2 linked regions of the Notamacropus eugenii genome follow. The protein of the gene in region 2 purifies or fractionates together with the protein of the main gene of each other region. This does not show direct contact. Links are inferred from orthologs where the notes say so. Each region holds a gene or a part of one and is shown on either strand. Other genes may lie near its edges.

Region 1 (7,769 bases), on a different chromosome or scaffold from region 2:
AGGGGACCTTGGAGGTCATCTAGCCCAAACTGCTCATTTTTCAGAAGAGGAAACTCTCCAGAGCTTTGTAAAGGGTTAATCAGCTGGCAGGTAACAGACTTAGGATTGAAACTTAGGACTTGCAGGTCTAAAATCAGTGTGCTTTTTGCCACACCATTGACAACTGGCACCCAGAACATAGCAGGCTTGTAGATTACTAACTGACTTGGGCCTCTCTGTACCAGGTCTATCCTCCAGGGGCCACTTCCCTAAGGAAGGGAGGATGGAAGTCGAGAGGTGAAGCTGGATGGACCCTGTGACTCATCAAGAATGCTGGGATGCAGCAAATTCAAAGGAAGCCACGGATCAGGGAGAAAGCTCCAGAACTGCCCTCATCTTGCTCTGGGGCCTTGGGCCAATCATTTCCTTTTGCTTCACCTATTTACCCATCCTTAAAAGTCCCCCCAGGTTTGAAATTTTCTGGGTAGAACCTCCAGGAAATGCCCCCCCATCATGATGGTATAAATAGAATTGAGTTCATCATCCCCACCTGCCAGTGACTCCTTTCTGCCCCCTTCAGACCCTGTCATGAGGCAGCCTGGGGTAACAGGAAAGAGGGCTTGAGCAGAGTGAGTCTCACGTCACTAGTGGCTCCCTACAAGACCAGGACACAATCCCTGAAGGGAGATTCATTTTCCTCCAAACCAGTGCTGCTACAATGCCACACTCCATCTGGAGGGAGAGGCCCCAGGTTCAAATCCTGATTCTGTCACCTGAGATAGCCTCTGTGGGAAGTCACCTGACTGTGCTGGGCCCTCTTGAGGCCCCTTCCTGCTCTAAACCGGGGAAATTAGGATCCCTGGATGCAGGGATGCACAGATAATCACAGGCCTGAAGAATATGGCACACTTCATTGCAAGCTCATTTCTTCTGAGAAAAGAAGCCTGTGTGGGATGGGGGCTCAGAGCAAGTCCCAAGGCAGTGAAAAGGGCTGGGTTGGCCTCCAAGGTGTAGCCTTGGCCCGATCCTGCCTCAGACCTTTACTCTCTGGTGGCTTAACCTCTCTGGCTCACTCTCTTCATCAGAAGAATTAGGGGTCTGGAACAGGTGACTTCTCAGATCTCTTCTGGCTCCCATATGTGCTATGAGCCTGTTCCAGGGCTCTTTCCACGAGGGGCTGCCTATGGCAAATAATATATATCCGAAGCACAGTGGAGTCAGAAAGAACTATGTACTTGTTTATCTGTTCATAGATGCTCACTCTGGGACCGTGACCCCTTCATTTTCTTTTCTTTGTCCTCATCCTTCTTGACCCGTCTACTGCATGTGACACTGCTCACCACCCCTTCTTCCTGGATATTCCCAACACTCCCGACTTGCCTCCTACCTGTCTGACCCCTCCTTCTCAGTTTCCTTAGTTGGCTTGTCATCCATATCACACCCCCAAGTGTGTGGGTGTTTAGCTCCTTTATCAGATGGTTTAATTACCATCATTCTGAAGATGGCTCCCACCTATATACATCAGCCCCAATGTCTCCCAAGCTTCACATATTACCAATTGCCTAATGCCCAGGATAGCTTCACCCCAGCAGGTCTAAAACTGAACGCATCATCTTTTCCCCACACAAGGGATTCTTAACCTGGAGTCTGTGAACTTTTTTTTTAATATTTTGATAACTTACTATTATAGCTGATTTCTTTTGCAATCTTGTTATTTTACATTATGCACTTAAAAACATTATTCTAAGGGATCCATAACACAAAAAATGTCAAGAACTCCTTGCCCTAAACCAGGGGTGGGGAACTTTTGGCCTATAGCCACATGTGGCCTTCTAGGTCCTTGAGGGTGACCTTTTGACTGAGTCCAAACTTCACAGACAAATCCCCTTAGGAATTAGCCAGATGTGGCCTTAAGGCCAAAGGTTCCCCACCCCTGTCATAAACCTTCCCTATGTCTGTGGAACGTACCATCAACCTTCCAGTCTCCCAGCAGCCTCCTGGACTCTTCACTCCTCATCTCACATATTTAATCAGTCACCAGAGTTTGCCCTTTCTATCTTCACAACATCTTTCCTTTCTGACCCCTTCTCTCTACTCATAACCTACCCCCTTCATTTAGGCTGTCATTATCTCCAGAATTATTAAAACAGTTCCAAATTGGATTCTGTGCCTCCAACCACTCCCCAGTACAGTGTGCCCTCTACACTGTTTGCCAGTGTAATTCTCCTCAAATGCCAGTGTGATTCCCCTATTTCACCACTTCTAGTGGCCTTATCGTTCGACATAAACTCCTTTGTTCAACTTCTAAAGCCCTATCCGACCTGGTTCCATTCTATATTTTCAGTTTTGTTGCACATGACTCTCCTTTCCACACTCTTGTGATTTAGCCACTATGGATCACTATCTGTTCTCCACATTTCTGTATCTCCAGTCTCCATGCCTTTGCACTGGAAGCCCCCCCATGCTTGGAATGTACTCCCTCATCCTGGCCCCAGGAGAGTCCCTGTCTTCCTTAAAATGCAGCTCAATCACCATCTTCTGCATGAAGCCTTTGCCAGGGACTTCCCTCCAAACCACTGTGCATTGACTATCTGACATATGTTTGCATTTATTCATGTTCTATTTCAAACGTACTTTTTTGTCTCCCCCACCAGAATCCAAGCTGCTGTCTCCTTCACTGTCCTTGTAGCCTAAGTACCTGTCACTGAGCAGATAAATCCCTGTTGGCTGATGGTCCTTGTTCTGCCATGGCTGGGCTGTGACATTTTAAGCCTGTCATGTAACGTCTGGGGACTGAAGCTTCCTGTTCCCCTGGTTGTGTTGTGATACAATAACCAGGGTGGGTGGTAAGAGCCAGTGGTGGGAAAAGCCCTGACCTGGGATCATGTTCCAGCTCAATCTCTGTCTCAATGGGTGACACTGGGAAAGTCACTCTTTCTTGCCCGTTTCCTTATCTATCAAAGACCTCCTGGGGTTTAACCAATGGTGTCAAACTCAAGTAGAAATAGCATACCTAAGAAACTATCTGGGTCAAATATTGACTTAAAAAACCATATAGTAACATTATCTATGTTCTATTGTATTTTTATTTATTTTGTTCAATATTTCCCAATTATATTTTAATCTGGAGGGGGCCATACTCGGGAGTGTGGTGGGTCGAATATTTGACACTGTGAATCAGACTATAGTATTGCTAAGATTTCTTCCAGATCAAAATATTCTAGGTACAAAGGTCTCCCCTACTTAGAAACTCCATGGTGCTATATTGGATGGGAAATTCCTTAGAAGAGATTCTATATTATCACAGACTGTGTCCCAGGATCCTCCTACCTCTGCTTCATCTGTCCGGAAATAAAAGAGGAAATTCACCACCAGTTTCACGAGCCTCCGTTTCACCACTGGGGGGAGAGATCAAAAAACAATGTGGAAGTTGGGCACTTGCAGGGAAATCCCAGAGAACCCCTGCCCAGAGCCCAGGTGAGACCAGGCTTCTCCCCTCAGCCTTTCTACCCTGTCCTCAGGTTCCTCCTAAATATGACAGTATCCTTTACTAGAATTTCCCTAACCTTTAAACTTTGGGAAAAACACAAAGCCTCTTGGAGGGCAGAGTCTGAACTAGTTTAAGGAGATTGGATGGCAGAACAGGAAAGTAAAACAAGGTGGAATGCCATGGAGAAAATCCAAAAATCCAAATTCCTGTCCTACCACACCCTCCTCTCTTTCCAAAGAGGGAAGCACCACTCTGTAGTATCTGTGCAGGGCCAAAAACAGCTATTTTAGGGGTTGACTTGATTCTTCTTAGTCACCCGGGGGAGTTCCTTGAGTCCCAGCTCCCCCTGTAGCCTCATCAGTAATGACAAGATCCAGACCAAGGAAAAATACCCTCCAGAAAGAGAAGCCCCATTCCCAGGCAGAGTTGGGAGCAGGACCATCTGAGAAGGCCGCCTTGGGTGGAGTAGGATGGACGGTGGGAAGACAGGGCCAAGGAAGGACTGGGAGAGAGGATTCTCTCTGGAAGGGCTGAGGTGGGAGAGTCTTGTATAGAGGCCAGACAAGGAGGCTCTGGGGCAGAGGGCTTGGAGGAGCCTAAGGAGAGGTTACACAGGAAGATTCTGTCTGGGGATTGCTGAGCTTGGAGGTTCAGACCTCCAAGAAGGAAACCTGTTTAGGACTGTGGCTCTAGAAGGCTCTTGCTGCTCCTCTGTCGAGTCATTTCAGTCATGTCCAACTCTCCATGACCCCATCTGGGGTTTTCCTGGCAAAGACACTGGACTGGTTTGCCATTTCCTTCTCCAGCTCATTTTATAGATGAGGAAACTGAAGCAGACAGGGGTAAGTGACTTGCCCAGGGTCACACTGCTAGTAAGTGCCGAGGCTGGACATCATCATAAAGATGAGTCTTCCTGCCACCTGATTCAGAGTGCAGTGCTCTGTCTACAGGGCCACCTAGGAGGGTAGTGACATTATTTCTGTTTGTTTAAGGTGTGGTGGTAGTGTTTGCAAAGCCAGCTCAGGAGCCATTATTTTTCCCCACAAATGTTTATATTCCATTTTTACAGCTTCATGAGTAGTTTAACCAGAAAGGTTAGATCAAGGTGGGGATTTTTCTTTGCAAGAACTTGGGAGCTTAGAACGCTGTATACAAGCTGGGGTAACTTTTCTGGATTCAGAAGGGAAAGGGGGTGGGGGCTAATAGTTTAAAGGAGGAGCAAGTCAGATGAACAAGATCAATGATTTAGAGCAAGGAGGAACCTCAGACTCTCTCCTGTGATGCCTTAGTTTTACAGAGGAGGGAACTAAACGGTTAAGTAACTCTTGGGCCGGGGGCCCAAACATCAGTCAGTATTTGAACCCAGGACTTCAAGGACTTAGGGAACAGAAATTCATGGGAGGACCTGTGTGGTGTAGCACTGGAGCAGAGAAGGAGGGGTTCGGGAGGAGTTCTTTGGGGAAGTGTGAGAAGCTGTGCACAGTGGGGTATGATCCTGGGAACCTCACACAGGATGATGGAGGGGACAGGCTGTGTACACGCTGCGAGGTAACCTCAGGACTCCGCTGAAGAGCCTGGGAGGTGATGGAGGTGGAGTGGGCTTGGGGACAGGGCGTGGGATCTCGGGAGAATGTACACGGGGGTGCAGAGTGGGGGCGCCGTAGGTTGTGACCATGGACAGGACCCTGGCAGGACTGGGGGGGCTGGAGGAGGGGCTGGCAGGTTTGCTCATTGGTGGGGCTGAAGCTGGGGAGGGGACTGTCAGGGTGGCTCAGCCTGGTGACTCGCGGGGTGTCCCTGGGGGGCTCAGCGGGGGGTCGGACAGGAGGGATTCAGGGAGTGCTAAGGCTGGTAGTCTGGAAGGCTCTGAACGCAGGGGTGACCCCGGGGAGTGCGGAGGGCTCAGTGAGGGGGGCTGAGGGAGATCCTGGGGGGGGTCATAGACGGGGGGGGTTAGGCAGGCCGGCCTCCCCTCGGCTCTCACCGCTGCCCTTCTTGGGGACCCGCATCCCGATCTCCGCCGCCTTCTCCGCCGGCTGCCGGGACAGCGCCTGGAGCTCCTTCTCGTTGTACCGCATCCTGACGACGAAGGGAGGTGGGAGGCCCCGCGGCCAAGTCGGGAACCTGCTTGGGCTGCGGCTCCGGCCTCCGGCGGCCCGCCAGGCCCAGCCGCGCCGCTCCCCACTCCGCTCCTCCCTTCCTCCCCGCCCTTAGGGCTCCGTTTTGTCCGTGTTCGCCGCCAGCGGCCCCAATAAAGTTTTTCCGCAGAGCGCGCCCCCGCGGCGCGCAATAAAGTTTTGTTGATGGCTGAGTTCGGTGCGTCTCCCCTGGCAAAGTCAATAAAGTTTGCGAGGGCTTCCCCGCCGCGCGCGTGCGCAGATCGAAGCTGGCGCGGTGGCGCGCATGCGCGGAGGGTCGGTAAGACGAGCTGGCGAAGAAGATAACGGCGGAGCGGCTCGTGGCGCTAGCGCCGGGAGGCGCCTGTTGTTTCTGTGAGGAGGTCGGTGAGGAGGCGGAAACGGACGCCTTGAGTTTTGGGGGGAAGCGGGGGAGGACGGGGCTCGCGACGAGGAGGAGGAGCTCTCCCCAGGAGCGAGGGAAGGAGGAGGGGGACGAGGAGAAGAAAGCGGCCGCGAGGCCTGAGGCCTGGGTCGCTTCGTGTGTGGGTCGGGCCTCGCGCCGGCGGTGGGGGGCGGGGCGCGCCCGGGGCCGGGGGCGCGCGGAGGAGGGAGGGTGGGGAGCGGGGCGGGCCCCGGGACTGGACCGCGGTGCGGAGGGTCAGCCTGGTGAAGGGGTCAAGTGAGCCCCGGAGCTTGGGCCGGGCCGGTGGGAGGCCCACTGTGAACGGACTTCTCCGTGTGAGTAGACCTCCCTTGTCGGAGACCCACTTGCGTGTGCCATGTTGGTGTGTTGGAGTCCTCCAGTACTGAGCGAGTTCCCCGAGGGTAGTTCTTACCTGGGGTGTATTTGCAGCACCTTGCACACAGAACAAGGATTTCCCTTTGTTCCCCCTCACTTAGTTGGTTTTCTGATGGCTTCTCAAATGGAAAGTCTGATCGCGTCCTTACCAAAAGAGAAGTGATTGGAGCGGGCTGGGACCCGAACACCGGGAAGTGGGCTTCCGCCTCAGCCCCAGGCGCGGCTCCTTCACCACCAGCCCTCGCTTGGTCCTTCCAGCCTCACTCGCTGTGGTCCTTGCTCCTTTTCATGTGTAAGGCCTTTGTATTAGCCATCTTCGTACCTGAAGTGCACTCCCTCCTACCTCATTCAACCGAAACTGCTCCTGGAAAGTCAGGAGGCGCAGTGGATAGAGCGCTGGACCCTGGAAATGAGCAAGACCTGATTCAGACCTAACCTCAGAATCTTAATAGCTGTGTGTACAAGTTAATTCATCTCTCTGCCTGCCTTAATGGGGAGTATAAAACTGCCTATCTCCCAGGGTTGGTTTGAAGATAAAATAAGGTACTTGGTTTTTTTAAATTACTTTGTTTCAGTTTTCTACAATCACTTCCATAAATCTTAGATTTCTTCCCCCTCTCTCTCCACTCCCTCCCCGAGACTGTGCGCAATCTTATATGGGTTTTACACATACATTTTTATGAAATGCGTTTTCACCTTAGTCATGTTGCATAGAAGAATTAAAATGAATGGGAGAAACCGTGAGAAAAACCAAAACATAACAGAAGAGAAAATATTCTGCTTCATTCTGTGATCCTGTTCCATAGTTCTTTTTCTGCATGTGGAAGGCATTTTGCCTCAAGAGTCCATGGGAATGTTTTAGGTTCTTGCAAAATAAGGTACTTGTAGAGCACCTTTGCAAATCTTCAAGCTATATATAAATGCTAGCTAGCTATATTACTAATTATTTCTTAACTGTAGGATCTAATGGCTTTTTCTCAATCTTCATCCTTCTTGACTTCTCTGTAGCCTTTGATAAACTTTCTTCTTAATACTCTTCTCCAGATTTCTTGTTACTCTGCTCTGTCCTGGTTCTCCTATCTGTGTGACTACCTCAGTCTTCTTTACTGAATTTTTGTTTAGCTCATGCCCCTGAGATGTCCTGTAAGCCTCTGCTGGGCCCTCTTCTGTTTCTCTGTACTATTTCATCAGTTCCTAGATAGCCAGTTATCTTCTAATTTCCAAACTGGGATCTCTGACTGCCTAACAGACATCTCAAACTGGATGTCCCTTAGATATCTTAAACTCAGTATGTCCAAAACTTAACTCATTATCTTTCCCCTAAAACCTTTATTCTTTCTAAACTTTCCAGGTACATTACTTTTAAGGACACGGTGCTCTT
Region 2 (7,107 bases):
GTAAGCCTTAACCAACCTCTCTTCCTTCCAGGGCTTTCCCTCTTTTCATTATTTCCTTTTTATCCTATGTATAACTTGCTTTCTATGTATTTGTGTGCACGTTTTCTCTCCCTTAAGGGCAGGGATTGTCTTTTGCTTCTTTTTGCATGCCTAGTGATTAGCCCAGTGCCTGGCACATAATGAGCATTTAACAATTGAGAGAGTGTTATTGCTACACAACCACCTTATTAATTCTACCACCCCCCCCCCAATTAATCTTCATAAAACACTTTATAAAGCACACCTTTCATTACAATACTCTCTGACTCATTTTGCAGATGGATCCTGAAGGATGAATTCTTCCCGAGTAAACTGTTAGCTCCTTGCAGGCAGTGATTATGACTTGCATGTTGTTGGTCACTAGGGGGTGCCATAGTGCATGGAGCACTGGGCTGGAAGTCAGGAAGACCTGGGCTCAAATTCAGCCTCAGACACTTACCCAGCTGTGTGACCCTGGGTAGGTCACTTATCCTCTGTTGGCTTCAGTTTCCTCATCTGAAAAAAGGGGATGATAGCAGCATTTACCTCCTAGGGTTGTTCTGAGGATCAAATGAAATAATAATTGCGCAACACCTAACAGCCAGTGTAGTTTAGTTTAGCACTTGGCACACAGTAGGTGCTACATAAATGTGCTTATTCCCTTTCTTTTCCCTTTGGCATCCCCCAGTGCACCTAGAATAGTGGGAAATGTGGAGTAGAGATTTTTTTCTCATCTTTTCATTAAAACAGAATCCCACTTAAACTAAATGTCCCACCAGAATCCTGGCCGTGTCCATATGCATGTATGTGGGTGCTTCTCGTGATGCTCTCTCTGACTTTGTTTCTTCTCTTATTTCTTGCTTTCCATTTTCTTCTTCTTCCCTTTAGTCTTTCTGTCTCTGCCTCTTGACCAGCCTACTAAATCTCTACTCTGCATTTAGCACAGTTATTTTTTTTTAAATTAGGATGAAGGTATATTAGGTGGGAAAAAAAAGAAACTGAGGTTCATCCGGACAAATGGTTTATTTATTTAGCAATGCATGGGATTGCAAAACAAACCGGGTCCAAGACTCTAGGTAAACCAAGGACCCCTAGGTTTGGTTTCTATGAAGTTAATATACAATTTGAACAGAGTGGAAAAAATGAAAAATAGGATTATTGGGATTAAGACATCTGGTTTCTTACTAGTAGAGAGTGAGAAATTCAAATTAATTCCACCTTGTAACTGATTCTATACTGTATTGATTTTTACAATTGAGTCTGCATCTGCCTAAAGCCACCTAGGTCCTTGAGATGAGCTGAGGAATTCTGATTTCCCTCTGAGTCACTTTAAAGTTATAATTAAAAGAAAAGTTGTCATCTTTCATACTGGTAGACCTTAGGATACTTCCAGGACATCCAGGACATCTGTTTGTTATCTTTAAGCTTCACAAGTTAACTTGGTACCATCCTCAAAAGATGTGTCATCTGTCCTTGCCTTTCCTTGAACAATTAGGAGAGTTTTGTCTCTTCCAAGGAGTTAGCAACCCTAACCCTAAATGCTCATTGGTAGCTTTGATCCCTTAGCAAAGATTATAAGATGGGGAGGGGTCCCATAAAACATTTAACATTCCTCAATTGTTTGAAAGGGGTGGCTACTAGTCCCACATAAATGCTAGCCTGATTTCCTTGATACAGTCTCTCATGTTGTCTCCATGGCCACAAGGCTGTTTATCAGTAACCAATCACATTGTCTTCCCCAACTACCCAATGCTGTACTTCTCCAAACTAAATGAAGGCTGGCAAGCCCTACCTAGGGGTCTTTGGTTATTGAGAGGCCATTGATTCAATGTATTGGATGCTGTTACCCTAATAAATTGGTGATGTTGGGAATCTTATCTCTCAGTTTACCTTTATTTCCAAATGTAATAAGGATATCAGGAGACACTGAGGTGAGAGGGAGAAGGGGAGTTTTGTGATATTTCTTAAGTTGGGGGACCTTTGGGAGAGGGAGAAATCTTGTGACTTCTTCAAAATCCAGAATGTGACTTTACAAACAGCTGAAACTTTAGCTTCACAAAATGGTGGGTAAGGGAAAAAATGGAATCATGAATGCTATTTTTTTTTTAATATAACAGGTACCAGCTCTAAGTTCCCTGACCCAATGTTGGTGTTAATCCTTCAGTTTTGAAGAGTCTTGACTTATTCATGAACAGAATTTAAGTGAGGCTGAATTGCATAAAGTCACCAGCCTCACTCTCCCAGAGTCATCCAAGTCCAGTGGCAAAACAAAAGTCTGAACGACTGGGGATGATCCAGGATGACGTTGGCGTCTTTGATGTCTGACCAAACTCTAAGCCCTCCACATTGTATACTTCAGCCACCTTCATGGCTGTTGGAACAAATTGTTCTCATCTACCCATTCCTCCAGAGATAGTTTTCACAAGCTTGGGCTAAACATCCTCCTAATTCATTGACAGGTTTGAGGTCTGTCAGTTACCCTCAATCTGGTTTAGCCTGTCTACTGAAACTTTATCCAGCCCTGAAAAGTGGTTAGTAAGCCCTGCCACCACAGGTGCTCATCCTCCTGAATACCCCATACACCTCCGACCCCATGAAACAGTCATAGAATGTCAGAGCCACAAGGGATCTAGTCCCAACTCTCCCCACTCACTTATGATGTTCCATCTCTGGTCTCTGTACAAACTATCCCTCCTTGCCTACTCATTGCGCATTCCTAGCTCCTAGAACCCCAGTTCCTTCCAGATGAAACTCAAGCAACAGCTCCTTCAACAAGAAGCATTTCCTGATCTCTCTAGTGGGGTCATTCCTTAAACCACCCTGCATGGTTGTATATATTCTATATGTGCTTATATAGGTGTACGTGGTCACCCTTGATAGAATTGCCCAGTACTTGGCTAAGTAATCAGGGTAGTCAGCATTCATACAGCATCTGAAGGTCTGCAAACTGCTTTACCCATATTAATTCATCTGATCATCATATCAACTCTGGGAGGTAGGTGCTGTTATGACTTCCATTTTACAGATGAGGGAAGTGAGGCAAACAAAAATTTAAGTGACTTGTCCAGGTTTGAACTCCAGTTTTCCTGACTTCAGGTCTTGCTGTTTTAACTTAAATACTTGTTGGTAGTTTGATTACTGTGAGAAAAGGGTTCTGGAAACCTTATAGAGGAGCTATATTATTATTTTACACAAGAAGAAACTAGCTACTGGGAGAGCTGGGACTCCAGAGAGCTGGAACAAGTAGATCTGTGTCTACCATGCGTCCCTGGGAGAAATGAAAATCAGGACATGGAGAAAAGAGAAAGCCCGGAGACACCGGGAGAGGCAGCCATGGAGACAAGAGACAGTCTACACTCACCAAGCGTGCTCCTACGGGCAGGTCACCTTGAGCCTCAGTTTCCCCAGCTTTAAAACTGGGATAACGAAGTCCACAGTTCCTACCTCGCCTGGGTGTTGAGGTTCTAAAGCGATAATGCCCTTGCCAAACCTTAAAGCGCAGGCACATTCCCGATTGCTCCATCCTTTTCATCCTCATCATCACAGTTTCTATTTATTATCCTCAGGGTGGCTGCTTTGGTTTGTTGAGTGGGACCTGTGATTTCCTAACCAGGTAAACTCAAGGTACCTGGCCGGATCCGCACCTGGTCCAGGGGCACTAAGGAATTGGACCCAGGTCTTCTGAGGTCCACGGTCAGCCCTATGGCCAGCTTTAGGGTTCTGACTACGGGTCTGGAGGAATCAAAAAACCTTTGCATACGTTTCATTTGCATAAATTATGCAAATCAGTGTAATACCTACATATTTGCATGAAAGCCGCTGTTCAGGGCCACCTCAAAGATCGGGGCGGGGCCAGAGCTTCTCCGAGCTGGGAGAGCGCGAGCGTGGGGAAGGCGGGGCTTATCCTCAGAGCTTCCCGCCCCCTTTCTGGGGCCAAGCCACTCTAACGTCTCGACCCGCCTCCTTCATCCGGATGCTTGGCGACTATTGGCTATGACCAACCTCCATCTTCTTCGACCGACACCGATTGGATACTAGTTTCTTTCCCCCCCACCCCCTCCTCGGTAGCTCCTTGCGCATTTCCGGGCGTTGGGAACGTGAGGCGGACGTGGGATTGCCGCCATTGCGTTTTCGTAGAAACTGCAAAGTGACTGCCGGGTGCTGTGGGGTAAGCAAAGGGGAGTAAAGGGCTGATGGCGCATGGCTGGTCAGGACAGGGGCGCGCGGGAAGGGATGGTTGGTACAAAGAGGTGAAGGAGAAATGGAGGGGGCGGGGGGGGGGGTGATGCTGGGGGAAGTGGCTGCAGTGTGAGGGAGGGAGCAACGCATGCGCAATGAGGTGGCGGGAGCGCGCGGGGCCGAGCATCTGGGAAGGGATGCGCAGTAGGCATGCGCAATGAAGCAAGGCCCCTGAACGAGGCTAGAAGGGGATATCAGGGTGAAAGGGGTAGAATGGGGCGCATGTGCAGTGGGAGGGAACGTATGGAGTCGAGGCTGTCCGGGTGAAGGGAGCAGGGTCGTGGTGAGGGGCAGTCTAAGGGAGAAGCCCCTTGGGGGTAGGCCGGGCTCCCTTGAGCGCTGCAGGCGGTGCTGATGAAGGCCTTGGGGGGTGGGGGGGCCCTGAGGACGGTAGGGGAGCTGCCGAGCGCACCCAGAGGTGCGGACCCGAGGTCCGTGAAGGGGACGATGCAAGAGGGCCAGCCAGGAGGTCTAGCGATGGGGGGATGGGAGGGGAAGCTTGGGGAGGGCGATCGAGCCACGACCCAGGCTCCCACTGCGGGTGGACACAGCCAAGGGGTCAGGAATGGGGGAGGGAGGCGGGGAAGGCACAGGAGTGAGAGGAGGGGTGGCAGGGAAGACCAGGGGGTCGCATTCATGTTAATATGAGTGTAGAGACCTGGGCATGGTTGCGGAAAGGCCCTAGAGAGTTTCCAGATTGCCCTTACCCTCCTTTGTGGTCATTTAGAGAGACTTTACTGAGTTCCATTACTATTCCCCAGGTTCTCCGGACATGGCCGGAGTGTTTCCCTACAGAGGGCCGGGTACCCCTGTGCCCGGCCCTCTGGCACCACTGCCCGACTACATGTCAGAGGAGAAGCTTCAGGAGAAAGGTGAGAGGTCTGGGAGAATTAGGCTGGGAAGTGGGGTGCTGCTTGGATCAGGTCCCCTGGGCACGCTCCCTCAGTATTCCCTGAGAATTCAGGTTCTGGCCTGTTGCTCTCATTCTTGTGAAAGAAAGCATTCTCTGCAGACCTATCGGGAAAGCATTTAGGAGTGGCACCTTGGGACTGGGGATGCTCACATGGGGTAGACAGTGATACAGTCTGGGTTTCCTCTCCAGCCCGAAAATGGCAGCAGTTGCAGGCAAAACGCTATGCAGAGAAGCGGAAATTCGGATTTGTAGATGCACAGAAGGAAGACATGCCTCCAGAGCATGTCAGGAAGATCATCCGTGACCATGGGGACATGACCAACCGGAAGTTCCGTCATGACAAGCGAGTCTACCTGGGGTGAGGAGATCCAGGGCTTAGAGAGATGTGAAAAAAGCAGAAAGATTGTTATTCCCTGAGAGTCCCAAGCAGCTGCCAGTTTGGGCTTGGTTGGATCATTGTCCTCATAAAACTGTGATTGTATCCCCAGGCTGTTTGATATTTTTATTTCTGCCCGTGATTGCTGCCCTCCTTTCTGACTGTAGATTGGAGTCCTGGACAACCCTTCTGGATAACACTTGTATGAGTAGTGCCATTCTTAATGCCCTTTGAGGGAGGGAGCTCCAGCAAACCCAAAAATTTACATTCTGTAGTTGCATTGTTGCATGAATTTTTTCTGTCATTTTAGGCCCAGAGTTCTCCTCTGTTCTGGCATACCCGAAAGTATGAATTCTTTTAAGGTATCCAGAACATAGAAACAGTAAAGCTGGTTGCCTCAAGTTCTCTTGTTCCTTTTACCTTCTCTGCTTCTGAACTCTAAGCTGGAGGCTGGATGGGTGGAGGGACCAAAACTTTAACAAATCACTGCCTCCACTAAGAAACAGAGAAACTGACAGTGTGATCACCTAGCCATGGGAGTTTTGGAGTTGCCAGGGCAATTGATTTCTGGAAAAATATGACTTGCATGGAACAGTGTAGTATTTGGGATAGGGAACAGAGAGCATCATGGGAGTACTGATTTTCTGTCACCCTCTGATTACCCAATGCCACAGTGCCCTGAAGTATATGCCTCATGCTGTCCTCAAGCTCTTGGAAAACATGCCCATGCCCTGGGAGCAGATTCGGGATGTGCCTGTTCTCTACCACATCACTGGAGCTATTTCCTTTGTCAATGAGATTCCTTGGGTCATTGAGCCTGTCTACATCTCTCAGTGGGGGTAAGGAAGACTGGGGGATGCTTGGGTTCTAGAGGTTGTCTCTTTGTTCTCTTCTGGGATTCTGATTGTGATGTGGCTCACCCCAGGTCCATGTGGATCATGATGCGCCGAGAGAAGAGGGACAGACGGCACTTCAAGCGCATGCGTTTCCCCCCATTTGATGATGAGGAGCCACCCCTTGACTATGCTGACAACATCCTAGATGTGGAGCCTTTGGAAGCCATTCAGCTGGAACTGGACCCTGAGGAAGATGCCCCTGTGCTCGACTGGTTTTATGACCACCAGCCCCTAAGAGACAGCAGGAAGTGAGTTCCCACAGGCTCAGATCAATAGACCAGACTCAGCTGGCAGGAGTTGTTGGTCCTCTTTGGGTCTGTCGAAGAGAGATTGGCTTTAGGAATGAATGCTATGGCCTGAGTAGCTGCTATTGGTTTCCCACTTTTGCCCCCCTTGTTTCCAGGTACGTGAATGGCTCCACTTATCAGCGCTGGCAATTCACTTTACCCATGATGTCTACTCTTTACCGCCTGGCCAATCAACTCCTAACTGACCTTGTGGATGACAACTACTTCTATCTATTTGACCTGAAGGCCTTTTTCACCTCAAAGGCCCTCAACATGGCCATCCCAGGGGGCCCAAAATTTGAACCACTGGTCCGAGACATCAATCTTCAGTAAGTGTCCTTAAAAAGAAGGGCTTGCAGGGTCCCTGGTTTGGGTCAG

What was found.
Region 1: the proteins of PRPF8 (region 2) and SF3A2 purify together in Homo sapiens (affinity purification with mass spectrometry; 3 studies listed by BioGRID and IntAct, with this or other methods). This does not show direct contact. The link is inferred for Notamacropus eugenii from reciprocal best matches to the Homo sapiens genes PRPF8 and SF3A2.

The regions. Positions count from the first base shown.
Region 1 is NC_092875.1:64,094,164-64,101,932, reverse strand, and holds the start of SF3A2 (splicing factor 3A subunit 2), read left to right. Parts: upstream 1-4,762; 5' UTR 4,763-5,017; intron 5,018-5,453; coding exon of another isoform or gene 5,454-5,547; exon of another isoform or gene 5,548-5,715; intron 5,716-5,748; exon of another isoform or gene 5,749-5,969; intron 5,970-6,200; exon of another isoform or gene 6,201-6,931; intron 6,932-7,769. Other genes in the region: PLEKHJ1 (pleckstrin homology domain-containing family J member 1), read right to left, coding at 3,310-3,377, 5,454-5,547. UniProt on the Homo sapiens protein: Component of the 17S U2 SnRNP complex of the spliceosome, a large ribonucleoprotein complex that removes introns from transcribed pre-mRNAs.
Region 2 is NC_092873.1:39,717,311-39,724,417, reverse strand, and holds the start of PRPF8 (pre-mRNA-processing-splicing factor 8), read left to right. Parts: upstream 1-4,092; 5' UTR 4,093-4,186; intron 4,187-5,018; 5' UTR 5,019-5,029; coding exon 5,030-5,129; intron 5,130-5,359; coding exon 5,360-5,528; intron 5,529-6,220; coding exon 6,221-6,385; intron 6,386-6,471; coding exon 6,472-6,690; intron 6,691-6,845; coding exon 6,846-7,058; intron 7,059-7,107. UniProt on the Homo sapiens protein: Plays a role in pre-mRNA splicing as core component of precatalytic, catalytic and postcatalytic spliceosomal complexes, both of the predominant U2-type spliceosome and the minor U12-type spliceosome.